Linked DNA regions of Saccharomyces cerevisiae S288C. Changing the gene in region 2 together with the main gene of any one other region gives a genetic interaction. Each region holds a gene or a part of one and is shown on either strand. Other genes may lie near its edges.

What was found.
Region 1: mutations in RIM11 (region 2) and ALG3 together harm fitness more than expected from each alone (negative genetic interaction), as found in Saccharomyces cerevisiae (3 studies listed by BioGRID).
Region 3: mutations in RIM11 (region 2) and ALK2 together harm fitness more than expected from each alone (negative genetic interaction), as found in Saccharomyces cerevisiae (2 studies listed by BioGRID).
Region 4: mutations in RIM11 (region 2) and HRI1 together harm fitness more than expected from each alone (negative genetic interaction), as found in Saccharomyces cerevisiae (3 studies listed by BioGRID).

The regions. Positions count from the first base shown.
Region 1 is NC_001134.8:69,195-73,147, forward strand, and holds ALG3 (dolichyl-P-Man:Man(5)GlcNAc(2)-PP-dolichol alpha-1,3-mannosyltransferase), read right to left. Parts: upstream 1,934-3,953; coding exon 557-1,933; downstream 1-556. Other genes in the region: anaphase promoting complex subunit CDC27, read right to left, coding at 1-251; YBL081W (uncharacterized protein), read left to right, coding at 2,672-3,778; glutamyl-tRNA(Gln) amidotransferase subunit PET112, read right to left, coding at 3,876-3,953.
Region 2 is NC_001145.3:544,247-547,815, reverse strand, and holds RIM11 (serine/threonine protein kinase RIM11), read right to left. Parts: upstream 1,692-3,569; coding exon 579-1,691; downstream 1-578. Other genes in the region: SIP5 (Sip5p), read right to left, coding at 1-102; Arf family GTPase CIN4, read right to left, coding at 2,086-2,661; DNA cross-link repair protein PSO2, read left to right, coding at 2,853-3,569. UniProt on the Saccharomyces cerevisiae protein: Serine/threonine protein kinase that is thought to function in regulating kinetochore activity and entry into meiosis. Could phosphorylate IME1.
Region 3 is NC_001134.8:205,407-209,724, forward strand, and holds ALK2 (protein kinase ALK2), read left to right. Parts: upstream 1-1,787; coding exon 1,788-3,818; downstream 3,819-4,318. Other genes in the region: bifunctional glycerol-3-phosphate/glycerone-phosphate O-acyltransferase SCT1, read left to right, coding at 1-411; LAA2 (Laa2p), read right to left, coding at 701-1,543; YBL008W-A (uncharacterized protein), read left to right, coding at 4,003-4,242; HIR1 (Hir1p), read left to right, coding at 4,247-4,318. UniProt on the Saccharomyces cerevisiae protein: Serine/threonine haspin-like protein kinase involved in cell cycle regulation.
Region 4 is NC_001144.5:729,038-732,151, reverse strand, and holds HRI1 (Hri1p), read right to left. Parts: upstream 1,328-3,114; coding exon 593-1,327; downstream 1-592. Other genes in the region: EXG1 (glucan 1,3-beta-glucosidase), read right to left, coding at 1,851-3,114. UniProt on the Saccharomyces cerevisiae protein: Unknown. Non essential.

The DNA.
Region 1 (3,953 bases), on a different chromosome or scaffold from region 2:
TAGCTTTTATTCAGAAACAGCGAAAGTGCATATAAATATACCGCATCGGACCAGTAAACACTTGATTTATCGAGAATGGAGCATTCAGCATAGAGCAGTTCGGCCAAAAACTCTGCGGTACTGTAGTTCAACTGCTGAATAGCCTGCTGAATGCAGTCCTGAAGCTGTATGATGGTGCTCAAAGCTTGATCATCAAAGCTGGGGATTCCTCTCGAGAGGGTGAACGGTGCTAACTCAGGATTTACCGCCATGCTATTTTTATTATGTATCCTGCACGAAAAGTTCGTGTCGATTTATGAATAGATATGCAGTCACCAAAACAGAGTCTAAAACTCTCACAGCTAGGTATGGTTTTTTGATAAACTTTTCTGTGGCACCTTTGCTTGCACTTTGATCCTTTTGGTTTACTTTCAGCCTGTTCCATCCTTTTGATCAAAAAAAAAAAGGAAAATCAAGCGCGGGTAATAACGGCACCATTAAATACTAGTAGTACTATATAGATGGTATAAAGAAATGATTTAAAACAATACGATTATATGATATTTATACATCTGTTTCAGTTGAGCTTTTTTTCCATAGAGCTGGTGGTACGAAGATGGCTTTTGGCGAGGGCGACCGAACCAGATAGCTGCGTCAAGGCCAATAGAAGCAACAGAACAGTATTCAATGCCAACAATAGCGTGCTTGCTTGTGAGTTTGGTGGATAGGAATTCCAGCACCACTCGTGCAAGACGTACCAAATGGGACCAACGAAGAAGGGCATTCCCGACCAAAAGATCAGTATAGGCAAAGTCCAGTGATACCAGGATAGAAACTGGTAGTGGAGGGACCTTGAAAATAGGACGCCGATGAAGTTGGATGCGATTAGAACGAATGGAATAGTCTTGGCGGGATTGGCATTGAGCACTGCATTTTTCCTCAGCGGATGGCACAGGGAAGACCATAAATCGGGCAGGATGCGAGGGTATCTTGTGACGAACAGTGTGGTGAGCGCTATCAGGTGGCTGATTAAAAGGGCCAAGTGGAACCTCTTATCATTGAAAGCCTCTTCATCCATCATTTGCCAATTGATACTCCATTGGTACATAAACTTCCTGCCGAAATTAAAAGCGCAATGCAGGTACTGTTGCGGAAAGCTGCGCAGGAAGGGCACTGCAACTGCGACTTGCCATGCAATCATCGCAACGAGATCCAACAAAGTAAGGATTACGTTCGCGTCATTAAGGATGAATAGAGAAATCATCATTGCAGGGAAATACAACAGCGCATTCATCTTAATGCTCACAGCCATACTGTATGTTGCGGAGATCACCAGCGCAAGGGACTTCTTTAATTTGGGGCGCTGATGGCACCTGCTGGCCACGATAGCCCCCAAAACCGTGACGACCATAAACAAAGTAGTGAAGCAATCATTGAATAACCGTAGCACGTAAATAGAGTGCAATCTTTTAGAGAGGCACGCCAAGACCACACACCACGGTGGTAGATGTAAAAGGTAGTAACACGCCATTTGTAACGCCAGTGTAAGGAGATACAAGTATCTGAAAAACACTTGCCCGCGCTCAACGTGGTCCATTCCCTCTGTTAGCCAGTACATCATCTTGTAGATCAAGACGTGGCCTGCTGGATACACCAGCGGGCCCGTTCCACCACTCACCTGAGAGTAGTCCAGCATGCCATCGAGCTGAATCATCTCGATCTGCTCCATGTACGCCTTGTAATCGATCTCTGTGTAAGCTACCTTCTTAATGATAATCTTGCACAGCATGCTTTCGAACAAAATCAAAAGGGGCATAACGATAAGATTGGCCCTACAATCGAAGATCACGTAGCGCACACCGTCCTTGAGATCCTGCCACAGATCCAGCGGAGGTCTGACAAATTGCTTCCTTTGCAGAGACTTTTCACCTTGCGGAGACTGTTCACCTTCCATACTACTAGTATCTAACTCTTTCTCTCTCCCATACACACTCTATGATACTGTTTTCACTCCCAACTAGTGTACTGCGTTGTTCTTTAAGTTCGATAGCGAAATTTCTTTAGCTTGTTTACAGCACCCAGCAACCGCACACAGAATGTGACGGCAAATGCATTTTACATGGAAGGCTATCTACAAAACAGCAATAAAGAGTCATGTAAGATTGGGAAATCTCTAATGTGACATTCCATACTTGTTGCAACAATTTTGGGATGCTTCTGCGTCGTACGACCCTGTATTTACCTTCTCTAGCTCATCGCTTCCCAGGGTCCACGTTAATTTTTCAATTTTTTCTTGCGTGTCGAAGATTCAGGTCTCGAGAAATTTGTCAAAAATTTTTCACTAGATATTAAGAACTATATACATCGAATAAGATGCCAGCACAGAAGAGATAGGCAATCAGTTTAGATACTACAGACACTATCCAATAGTGCAAAGCAAAAGCAGCATAGAAAAAAGAGAATCCCGTTTCCAGCTTTTTCTCTTTTTCCCATTCGTTTTTCCTGATCTTTTTTTCTGCATCGTGGCACCTAGAACAAGAGGTACCTTCCATCCTTCGCTTAATATTTGATACGACTTTTTTGATTTCCATTATTATTATTTGTTACTATTATTATTTATCATTTGGGTTTCGGTTTTTTGTAATAATTTTCTTTTTTTTTTTTGGCTCTATTTCACTAAGACATCGTATATATGCCAGGCCAGATAATCAGCATTCCGTTTTTGTCGCAGAACGAGGACATGGATAAATACTTGTTGGAGTACCGCAGTTTGAAGCTCCTTCATCAGTCCAGTAATTCCTTCCAGTCTCACAATGCGCCCTCCCACCAGTCGAACTACCACCCCCATTACAATCACATGAAATACAACAACACTGGTAGCTATTACTATTACAACAACAACAATAACAGCAGTGTAAACCCACATAACCAAGCTGGTCTACAATCCATTAACAGATCTATTCCATCGGCCCCGTACGGGGCTTACAACCAGAACAGAGCTAATGACGTACCATATATGAATACCCAAAAGAAACACCACAGATTTAGCGCTAACAATAATTTGAACCAGCAAAAATACAAGCAATATCCCCAGTATACGTCCAATCCAATGGTTACTGCACATCTGAAGCAAACGTACCCTCAACTGTACTACAATAGCAACGTCAATGCTCACAACAACAACAACAACAGCAACAACAACAACAACAACAACAACAACAGCAACAACAACAACAATCTTTACAACCAGACGCAGTTCTCCACGAGGTACTTCAACTCGAACTCCTCTCCCTCGTTGACTTCTTCCACTTCTAACTCATCCTCTCCATACAACCAAAGCACCTTCGAATACATTTTGCCGTCAACTTCGGCAGCTTCCACAAATTTATCGTCGTCATCATCAAACAACTCTATGCACACCAACCCAACCACTGCAACATCGACATCCGCCGATTTAATCAATGATTTACCCGTGGGCCCCACGTCCAGTTCGCTTATCTCGGATCTACATTCTCCACCAACTGTATCTTTCCTACCAGCAAGCCAAACCCTGCTCATGTCCTCCACCACATCTAGCTCTATTGGCACCAACATAAACCCACCGCAACATTCACCATCCCCATCGCAAAGGGAGGATTTTTCGACGGCACCAGTGAACATGTCTTCGTCCGCATCACTCTTGATGAATGATTCTTCTTTAGGATGGGGGTCTAACCACATGAACGTATCTTCATCCTCTCAACCAGCATCATCAAGACCCTTTGGCATTTGGAATACTGACATGAGCGTTTGGAGTTGAGATGTTTACGTATATTTTTATGTATATTATTATCATTAGTATTACTATTATTGTTATTATTTATGCACGGTTCCTATTTACACGCGGCGTTTATATTTTACCATTGAATATTTAAGATCTCTTTGAATTTTTTCTCGAATTCGTTTGCCTTTATACGTCCCTGGCTTCGTCTCAT
Region 2 (3,569 bases):
TTGTTTGATGACAGAATTCGATGATGTAGTATTATATGAGGAATCTGGCCTGACATCATTAAAACTATCTTCCTGGTCTATTTTCCCTGGAACATTACCCATGGTTTGTTTGCTACTCTGGGTTCGGTTTATACTAGCTAGATTATTTGGTTCTAAGGTGCTTCTTCGTTTACTAAAACACCCACTACATCAGCTCGATGATGAACCTTCACTTGCCCCTTTATACTCTAAAAACCTTGTCGACCCATTTAAGGAAGTTGTTACCCGGTTAAAGTAAAGGTGTCATTAAAATAGTTTCGTACTGGCAAAGAATACGGCTTTTATACATAATTCGAAGTGAAATGGCATAAAAAAGTTACAATTTATTTTGGCTTTACCTTATTTTTTTCATAATTTGTATTCATTATAACAGTAATGATAACATAATACTGTTACTACTAATAATGATAAGAATATGATGGTAATACAAAAACAATACTCATAATAATAACAGTAATAATAGTACTAAAAAAAGACATACGTATATATGTTCCTTCCTTCTCCCATTATTCTTGCCTGGGCTCCCTCCGGTGCTATCATTACTTAGACTTCGGATATAGCTTTTTTTTTACAGATGATAGTTCATCGGGAGATAGATGGCCCAATTCGACATTTTCATCGAACTCTAGCAATTTTAAATCAGTTGTTATTTGATTTATTTTACCGTCATCAAGTTTTAGTTCATCAAAATATGGACTACACAGGCATTGTAGAGCATTAAATCTTTCTAGTGGATCATATTTCAAAACGTCAGCTAGAAATTCCACAGTTTGATCATCTTCTTTCTTGAAAACACGTGACAATGGTATTGGTTTAATTTGCGGGAACTTATGCTCCATATAATTGGGATTCATAGAGCAAATTTCTTGCTTTGATGGAGTACCTAAGATTTTAATGATTTCCACTAGTTGATCAATACCACTTTCTCCAGGGAACATTGGTTGGCCCAATAGCAGTTCCGCCATTACGCAGCCAGAGGACCATATGTCGATTTGGTTGGTATAATTTGTTGCGCCGAAGATTAGCTCTGGTGCTCTATAGTACCGTGAACAAATATAGGAAACGTTAGGTTCAGTAGGTTTCAATTGCTTTGCACTGCCGAAATCGCACAGTTTTAAGGACCAGGTCTCAGGATCTACTAATAAATTTTGAGGCTTAATGTCTCTATGACAGACGTTCGCGAAATGATGGAGGTAATTCAATGACTTGAACAATTGAAACATGTAGTACTTTATTTCCAATCTTGACATCGGCGTACGTTGATGGACGAAATGACGTAACCTCTGGTACAAAGATTGTGGCATGTATTCTAGTATCAAATTTAAATAAATCTCATCTTGGGAGTCCCTTTCATAGAAAAAGTACTTCAGATCTATTATATTTATGTGACTCAGCATTTTCATTATTTCCAGCTCTCTGTTCTTGAATCGTTTATCTTGCAGGACTTTCTTAATAGCAACTTTTTCATTAGTTTCTTGAATAACAGTGGCAAATACCACACCAAACGAACCATGCCCAACTACTTCGGTGGTAGGGAAAGATATCTGCACCGGATCATTCGGGTCTATCGTAGGTGGAGGATGGGCGTAGTAAACCTGTTTTGACACTATGTTATTACTGAGATTCGGAGAATTATTGCTTTGAATATTCATCCTGCGCGAGTTCTAGCGTTGCGTGATTAGTGTTGCCGTGTTGTAATGTAATGCTATGTCAAGATCTTGCCCAGTAATGTGTGAATCAGACGTCGGTGGTTGGCTATTCTGGAAAAAAAGGTGTTAAAATGCAATGCGCCAGAAAGAAAAGGAAATAAGACAATGGCAACGACCGATTGGAAATAATCTGCTGGTCTTCCTACCACTCCTTCTTGTGTAAGATCTTCAATGGACCCGTGCTTTGTAACCCGCAAGCCTTACAGAACCCCTTGGTAGTATTATTATCCGGAGTGAGCAGAAGCCACGAATGCGCACAGTCGGCGGGTAATGAACTATCACGCTATAAATACTGACATTATTTAAAGTTTTTATATGGTGCTCACATCTTAGACGATTATTGGGTAAAATGGCAGGATTCCACCAGACGGTCACGCAGGTTATCAATACCTTCTCCGGTAACGCCACTACATTTGACGAGCTCTATTCGGATGTCCGGCTTGAACAGACACTTCAACTCGCTCTCTACCAGTAAACACCTTCGATGAAGCTCGGACTTGTCCTCCACTAAATCAATCTTGTTCAACACAACGATAACAGCACACTCGTATCCTATTCGATTTTCGTCTCTATTGATTAATTCTTTTAGTTCTTGCAAGGTTTCGTCAAACCGCATTGAAAGGCTCACATCTATACACCATATCATCGCTTGTGTCTTATCAAAATAGTTATCCCAAAATGGCCTTAATGTGCGTTGCCCCCCAATGTCCCATAGAGATATTGTCACATCTTTTATCATCAGACTATGTATTTGAAAACCCACAGTAGGCATTATACCATCGTTATTTTGCTCATCCTTGGGCAATAGTTTGTTTACTATCGTTGACTTCCCCGAATTGTCTAGTCCTAGAATCAGACAGCGAATTTCTTTGTCCCTGAGCTTCTGTTTCCTGATAATACTTAGTAGTCCCATGTATTCTTCTACACCTTAAGCTTCCCTCTTATTATCTTTATAAATTAGTGCGATGGCTTTTTAGATTTTGTCATGGAAACGGACTGAAAAAGTACTAGTAAAATAGCAATATAAACATAATCAAATACCTGCGTCAAAACTCATGTTAAGCAGCATACGCACTAGTGACTAATTTGGGTGGTCGGTTGATTATGTCAAGGAAATCTATAGTGCAAATAAGAAGATCTGAAGTAAAGCGGAAACGAAGTAGCACCGCTAGCAGTACAAGTGAGGGGAAAACTCTTCATAAGAACACACATACATCCTCTAAAAGGCAGAGAACTTTGACAGAATTCAACATCCCAACTTCATCGAACTTACCTGTCCGTTCCAGTTCATATTCATTCTCAAGGTTCAGTTGTTCAACATCCAATAAGAATACAGAGCCAGTAATTATTAACGATGACGATCACAATAGCATTTGCCTTGAAGACACTGCAAAGGTCGAAATCACCATAGACACAGACGAGGAAGAACTAGTTAGCTTGCATGATAACGAAGTCAGCGCAATAGAAAATAGGACCGAAGATCGAATAGTAACGGAATTGGAGGAGCAAGTAAATGTTAAAGTCTCTACAGAAGTTATTCAATGTCCTATTTGTCTAGAAAACCTTTCTCATTTAGAATTGTACGAAAGAGAGACACACTGTGATACTTGCATAGGCAGTGACCCGAGCAATATGGGAACACCTAAAAAGAATATCAGGAGCTTTATTTCTAATCCATCATCTCCTGCAAAAACGAAGAGGGATATAGCTACGTCAAAAAAACCAACAAGAGTAAAACTTGTTTTACCAAGTTTCAAGATAATTAAGTTCAATAATGGCCACGAAATAGTTGTGGATGGTTTCAATTATAAGGCCAGCGAG
Region 3 (4,318 bases), on a different chromosome or scaffold from region 2:
AGGAAAATGCTAAGAAAACAGAAAATAAAAAGACAAGAAAAAGATTCGTCATCACCTATCATCAGCCAACGTGACAACCACGATGCCTATGAACACCATAACCAAGATTCCGATGGCGTCTCATTGGTCAATAGTGACAATTCCCTCTCTAACATTCCATTATTCTCTTCTACTTTTCATCGTAAGTCAGAGTCTTCCTTAGCTTCGACATCCGTTGCACCTTCTTCTTCCTCCGAATTTGAGGTAGAAAACGAAATCTTGGAGGAAAAAAATGGATTAGCAAGTAAAATCGCACAGGCCGTCTTAAACAAGAGAATTGGTGAAAATACTGCCAGGGAAGAGGAAGAGGAAGAAGAAGAGGAAGAAGAAGAAGAGGAAGAAGAAGAAGAAGGGAAAGAAGGAGATGCGTAGATGCCATTTACTGACGGTGAAGATACTAGAAACTAAATCTTTCGCCGTTCTATTTATGTAATAAACCCATTATTGCTCATTGGGAGTTGTAAATATTAATGCTCAATGTTTATGTATATCCCTCGCACAGGGGCTTTTTATTTCTTGAGGGGGGGACTAATTGTATAATTGTATGTTTTATAAAAAAGTATATTGCTCTTTTACGACTTTTGGTCTGGTCCCCTATGCTACTAATAACATTTTATTCTCTTCAAACTTCAACGTTCAACCTGCTTTGCCGAGACGGCGATTAGTATCCTACCCAACTGAACCTTTTCTTTTTGTTTCGCTTTTTGTTATACAATGCAATTTCGTCTCGCTGTAGTCTTTGGGTATGTCCTGTCAAATTCGTCACTACATTTTCAAAAGTTGTCTTATCCTTTAGGAGGTCTCGCTGTTGTTTCTTCAATGATCTTGATTTACTAACCAAAAAGTCAATGGATTGACACAATGTATCGTGGTATTGGCGTAAAGATTCTTCATCCATACTAGTAAAATCTGCCATAAGCAATTGCGGTATATGCTGCTCTTGCTCACGCTCCTCTTCCTTTTGAAGAGATTTTAAAGTCATTGGTGGTGTATAGTCAATTTTGAAATTATCCCTCAGGAAGAGACCAGTAGCCGTTTGCTCATTTTTCTCCACTGCATCGCATATCCTTTTGAACAACTCATCATTCAACGGTTCTTCCTCCCTCTTCGTACCAACACCCTCAGAGCCATTATTATCCGATAATCTCAAAATGTGGAGCAAGTTTCTGCGTATATGAGATTTATTCCATATGAATGGCTGTAACACAGGATCTAATTGTACGAGTTGTTCATAAATGACATGGGGTCGTTCATCTTCAATAAGTTTGCTCAGCTTGAAACAGTCATTCTTTATGGTTTCTTCTTCCAGGTCAAATTCTCCCTTTGGTAGTATCTTATTCAAGCAGTTATCTACTACAGATTCGGAAGACGTCGTTAAAGTAGAATTCTGGTTATAGAGGTCATTTTCAACTGAGGCATCTGAAAAATTCCCAAAATCATCACTAGAATCACTTTCTGCATCTAATGCATTTGTGACAGGTTCTATCTGATCTCTATCGCTCATTTGCTTGCTTTGAAAGAGGTGCCTTTTTCTATCTTGCTACACCTTAAATTCTCGTTTGTGATACGCCTAACGTTTTTTTTTTTTTTCAGTTTTGATAGCAATTCGCGAAACTTTTTGTAACATCTTCTCTTCTCGAAAAGCGAAAATAGTAAACAATAACTTAAAGCGTATTGGTATTAATATATTTAGTTGTAGTAAAATCATTTCACCAAACACACATACATGCGCTATTTGTATTGAGAAAATGAATTTTGATGCGGTAGCAGATCAACAGATGACTGACAGAAGGTATTTTGCTCTCGAAGTAGCAGAAAGCGATGATGCCGACAGCTCATTAAATTCTTCATCCATGGGAAGCCCCGCAGTGGATGTAGGAAGAAAAGTTTACAAAATCACTTCGCACAAGGGTTCAGCAGAAGATGAGAGTCAATCCTTTTTTACTTCTTCAGATTCTCCAACATCCAAAACAAGGCCTGTAGGTAAAACCATCGAAAACGATGATTACTATGGTAAAAGATCTTCTACAGGTTCATCGCTCAAACAACTCTTCAATAAAATTAATATTAATGATACCGCTCACTCTTCAAACAAAGAAAATGTATCTCAGTCGGTGCTATCGGAAAACAAGCTGCTCTCTCCATCTAAAAGGTTGTCGAAGCAAGGTCTTACAAAGGTGACTAACTCCAAGTTTCGTACACCCTTGAGACCTATTTCAAACCAATCGACTTTATCAAGGGATGAGCCTGTTAAAGATTTTAGATCACTTAAGTTTCGGAGCGGTAGTGATTTCAAATGCTGGGGTGACGAGAAGACAAGTTCTCATGTTCATTCATCCAGTGTGAACTCAGTTAATTCCTTTACTTCTACCACCTCTTCTTCAAAGTGGAAGTTCTGGAAAAATGATAACCTATTGTCGAGGTCGCTATCTTCCAGATCTGTGAATGACCAAGATCCGAACTTTGTTCAGCCAAAACCAACCAATTCGTTACAAAAGAAGTCTTCAATTTCAAGTTTTCACAATTCTATTTTTGGTGGTGGCAAACACACAGAGAAGAAGAGGAATTCTGGATTTATTATGCCCGATCATCAGAGCACGAAGGAGCTAAACCACAAACATTCATCATCGAACCTTTCCTTTAGAAGTTTGAAGCATAAAACATCACATTCTTCACTAAATAAGCTCAAAGTAAGGCGTAAAGGAAATACACAAGAACTGAATCATCCGATCAAAAAAACTTGCCAAATATCATTGCCTGTTCCAGACCAAGTCTCAAAGGACAAGATTCAACTGAAATTGAAAAATTCAACATCATTGGCATCCTTATCTTCAGAAGTCACTCCCATAAACACTTTGGACTACAATGATTCAATTTTGCAACAAATATTACAACTTTGTGATGTTAAGTATATATTACATGATCTACGTGAAGCTCAGTCATTAGGCTTGTTTACGTTGAATACTAGATCGGTTCAGCTGTCTCATAACTTTTGGCAAACTTATCATAGCGATATGCAAACTTCACTCATTTGCAAGAAAGTATGTCTAGGGGCTCTAAGTGATTTGACTACTTCAAACTTGATATCCTTACATGAATTGAAATCATTACGGTTAATACAAGGAACTAGCGGTGTCGCCAATTTACTGCAAGCTTATGTTGTGCCCTCAAATCAATGTGAAAATGACCAAAACTTGATACTGTACTTATTTTTCAAATACCAGGGAACTCCTCTATCAAGGTGCTCTAACATTGATTACTCTCAAGCATTGTCTATTTTCTGGCAGTGCAGCAGTATTTTATATGTTGCTGAATCCAAATTTCAGCTCGAACACAGGAATCTAACTTTGGACCATATTTTGATAGACTCTAAAGGGAATGTTACTTTAATTGATATGAAGTGCTGTCGTTTCTTGAATATAGACAACAATAAGGCTTCCTATACAAGATTAGACCATCATTATTTCTTCCAAGGCCGGGGGACTCTTCAATTCGAGATATATGAACTGATGAGAAGCATGCTGCCTCAGCCAATATCCTGGGCTACATTTGAACCAAGAACAAACCTATTATGGTTATATCACCTAAGTAGCAGCCTGCTAAAAATGGCCAAAAAAGCCGTAGTCAGCGGCGCTTTGAACCGGGAAGAAAATATCTTAATCGAGTTGACGCACTTACTCGATCCTGCTCGAAAACATTCCAAAACAATTTTCAAAAAGGAACTTGTTATAAGAACTTGCGGTGATTTGTTATCTTTGAAGGGAGAAATAATGCAGTAAAGACATCGTAGTAATAAGGTGCAAGCTTTTGTATCCTTCTTAATGATTTGTAAGCAAAAAAAAATTACGTACATCAATTTGTAATGGAAAGGAAATAAATAGTATAATATGAACACTCTTTCTGAGAACAGTTATCTTTAGCTTGCCCCACAAACTGAAAGCACATTTTTAAAATGTTTTACAGATGAAAATGAACCCTTGTACTGTTATCCTCTGTAAGTCGTTATTTTTCTTTTGCCTTTTTCAGGTTGACTGCTACTGTAATCGTAAGAATATTCAAAATCAATCATCTCGCATCGCAACAAAAATAAAACGAAGTTACTGGTTTAGGTGGCAGAAACATATAATATTGGCGAACATTCATAAAATAATTAAGGCTTACCAACGAAGCATAATAAAATTGCCAGTAACCAAAGGTCTCTGATAACATGAAAGTGGTAAAGTTTCCATGGTTGGCTCACCGTGAAGAATCGCGAAAATATGAAATATACACAGTCGAT
Region 4 (3,114 bases), on a different chromosome or scaffold from region 2:
CAGAGATTTTAGAGGTTAAATCCACCTAAATCTGACGCCTTAAACCACTCGGCCAAACTCCCATTGTATGTTGGAAGAATTGGATTTAAATGTCTATTATAGCATTAAATATCTTTAAATACATTCAAGAAATGGCGAAATTATTTCTTAGTGTTGGAATAAAAATCAACTATCATCTACTAACTAGTATTTACGTTACTAGTATATTATCATATACGGTGTTAGAAGATGACGCAAATGATGAGAAATAGTCATCTAAATTAGTGGAAGCTGAAACGCAAGGATTGATAATGTAATAGGATCAATGAATATTAACATATAAAACGATGATAATAATATTTATAGAATTGTGTAGAATTGCAGATTCCCTTTTATGGATTCCTAAATCCTCGAGGAGAACTTCTAGTATATTCTACATACCTAATATTATTGCCTTATTAAAAATGGAATCCCAACAATTATCTCAAAATTCACCAAATTTTCACTTAGGTATTTTCTTTTATAAAGTCTATCGTTATAAAAATACTATATAGATCCCATAGGTGCTTATTATAGCAGCAGAAGAAAGTAGAAAACGATTTATTCTCCTTTATTAAGCGTGATATTCAATAACTTCCCAGTTCAACCCATTGCTGGTTACAGTGGAACCTTTCTTCAAATTTTCGTAGCTTTGTGGAATTTTGTTTACTTCCTTACCGTAGCTTAATAAGAACTCAGATTTACCTGAATCTTTTTCAAGTAATCTGATGAAGTTCAAGCCTTCAATAGTGTTATTATTCTTTTGGGACAAAAACCCTTGAATCCATCTACCAATAACAATAACCAAACCATCATAAGCTTCGTCAGTAACTTTGAGGACAATTGACCTAGCATTCGACGAGAACTTCTCATTGTTTGGTGAGACGATGACTAGATCTTCTCTTGATGGGTCAACTGGTTGCCACAATTCTCTGAAAGAGACGCTTTCTTTGTCGGCACCGAATGGGTAAACAGCGCCTGTTTCCTCGACACAACCAGAATCCCAATTTTTCCAAGTGGTGTTCACTTCGCCACGATGGGTGTTTGGAACGTTCAAGTACACATTTGTATCCAACCAGAAATTGAAATCTTGAGTAACGACACCGTTTCCTTGATCATTAGCTTTAACTGTTTCGTTTGTACCGGCAAAGGCCCATTCGAAAGGAAAAGATAACTCATCACCGCTTGGCTTAACAAATGGTCTCAAGGAAATATAGTGCCCATCAGTTGAAACAGAGGATAAGGTGAATGTTCTTTCGTTTGGATGAGGACCCACTTGAAACAATAATCTTTTTAATAATGCTGGCATTGTAACTTAATTTTTTGTTTGTTGTTGTTTAAGTTCTTTTATCCTTCCTTAGATAACACCTTAAAGCTCCAGTTACAACAGCGGTGAGAATTGACTTTATATTCGGGGCACTTCCGGTTGTTTTACGAACATGTGATTCGGAAATTTTATGCAAGACGACACGGAACGGAACGTATGCCGGCGGAAAAGCTCACGTGTGAAGAAGAAAACAAAAAGAGTAAGCTGGATTTTCTTTTTCGGAGATTCTGTAGAATTTTTTTATTAGTGCAATGAGGTAAAAAGGAAACTAATATTAAATTCTGAAGGTTATGTTACATAGTTTTTATTATTATTATCGTATATTCTATAAGTGTACCATATAAAATAATGTCTTTACTTAGACTTAAGTGAGAGATCTCTGTAAAATGTTGGATAAAAAAGAGATAATGAACTAAAAGGGGTAGATAAATTAACGTTCTGTTAAGTTTTGCTGATGAAAAATAACATTAGAAAATTCAGCTAAAATGAGCGGACTGAGGGCGACTTAGTTAGAAATTGTGCCACATTGGTTTGGATACTTTCTGTCAGTCAATGGTTGAGGGAATAAACCATTGAACATCAATCTTTGAGCATCCCATTCCAAACTAGATTCTGTCTTGTAACACCAGATAATCCAACCCCCTCTCATTTCAAAGGCATCTAGTTGTGCCTCCACATAACGTCTTGTGTTTTCCTTTCTTTCGTCAGACCAGTAAGCTATATCATCGTTGTTAGCACAAGAGCCAATGTAAGAAGATGTTTGGTCACCATTGACCCAAGAACCGTCGTATCTAGCGCCGAAGCCAACACTATTCAACCATTTTGTACAATCAGTCAAAGCGGCAGCAAACTCACCACAAACAGTCCAGTGGGATTCATTCAAAACTCCGGTACCCCATTCACAAGCTACTTTAATATGTTCATCAATGGATCTTTCCAATTGATCAGAAGCAAAGACTTGGTAGTGATGATGGTCGATAGTGACACCCCAGTAGCCATCGTTTTCAGTCATGAAGTCATCCCAATAATTGTATGGTTGGAAAGCGTCATGGATGATGATAACTTGGTCACTCTTGATGTTGTTTCTCAAGTATTCGTAAGCAGGTGCCAAGTAGTCATTCTTCATTTTATCCATGTCTAGAACAGGACCCAATGGCTCATTAATCAATTCGATACCAATAACAGTGTCCAAGTATTCCTCCGCAGAGTATTTTTTCAATATGTAGTTCAAGACATTTGTAGTAACGGCCAAATTGCTGTCTTCCAAAAACTTGTATGAATCTCTCAAACCAGAGTTATCAAACCCGTTCTGCGAACCAGCGGCACCATGCAAATCAACCCAAACTTTCAAGCTGTTGTTTCTAGCCCAACCGATGGCTTGGTCTAGGTAAGATTCCTGTAGGCCGCTAACATAAGGATCATCGTCCAAAGTTTGGAAAGCCCAGTAACCGATAGGAATTCTGACAAGGTTGAAACCTTGGGAAGCAATATTAGCGAAATCTTGTTCTTGGTAGAAAGTAGACCAATGGCTCTGTAAACGGCTTTTAGCCAAATCCTTACCTAAATATTGACAGAAGTGATATTCGTCGACAGGAATTCCTTCGTCGTTGTCATCATTTGTACGGAAAGCCTCGAACAAAGATGGAGTAATGTATGGTTCAAGAAGTAACCAACCACCAATGTTGACACCACGGATTGGTTCTCCGAGGGAACCGTGGTCATAATCGTAGTATCTTTTCTTGTTCTCCTCATGAACAAATTGAATGGAA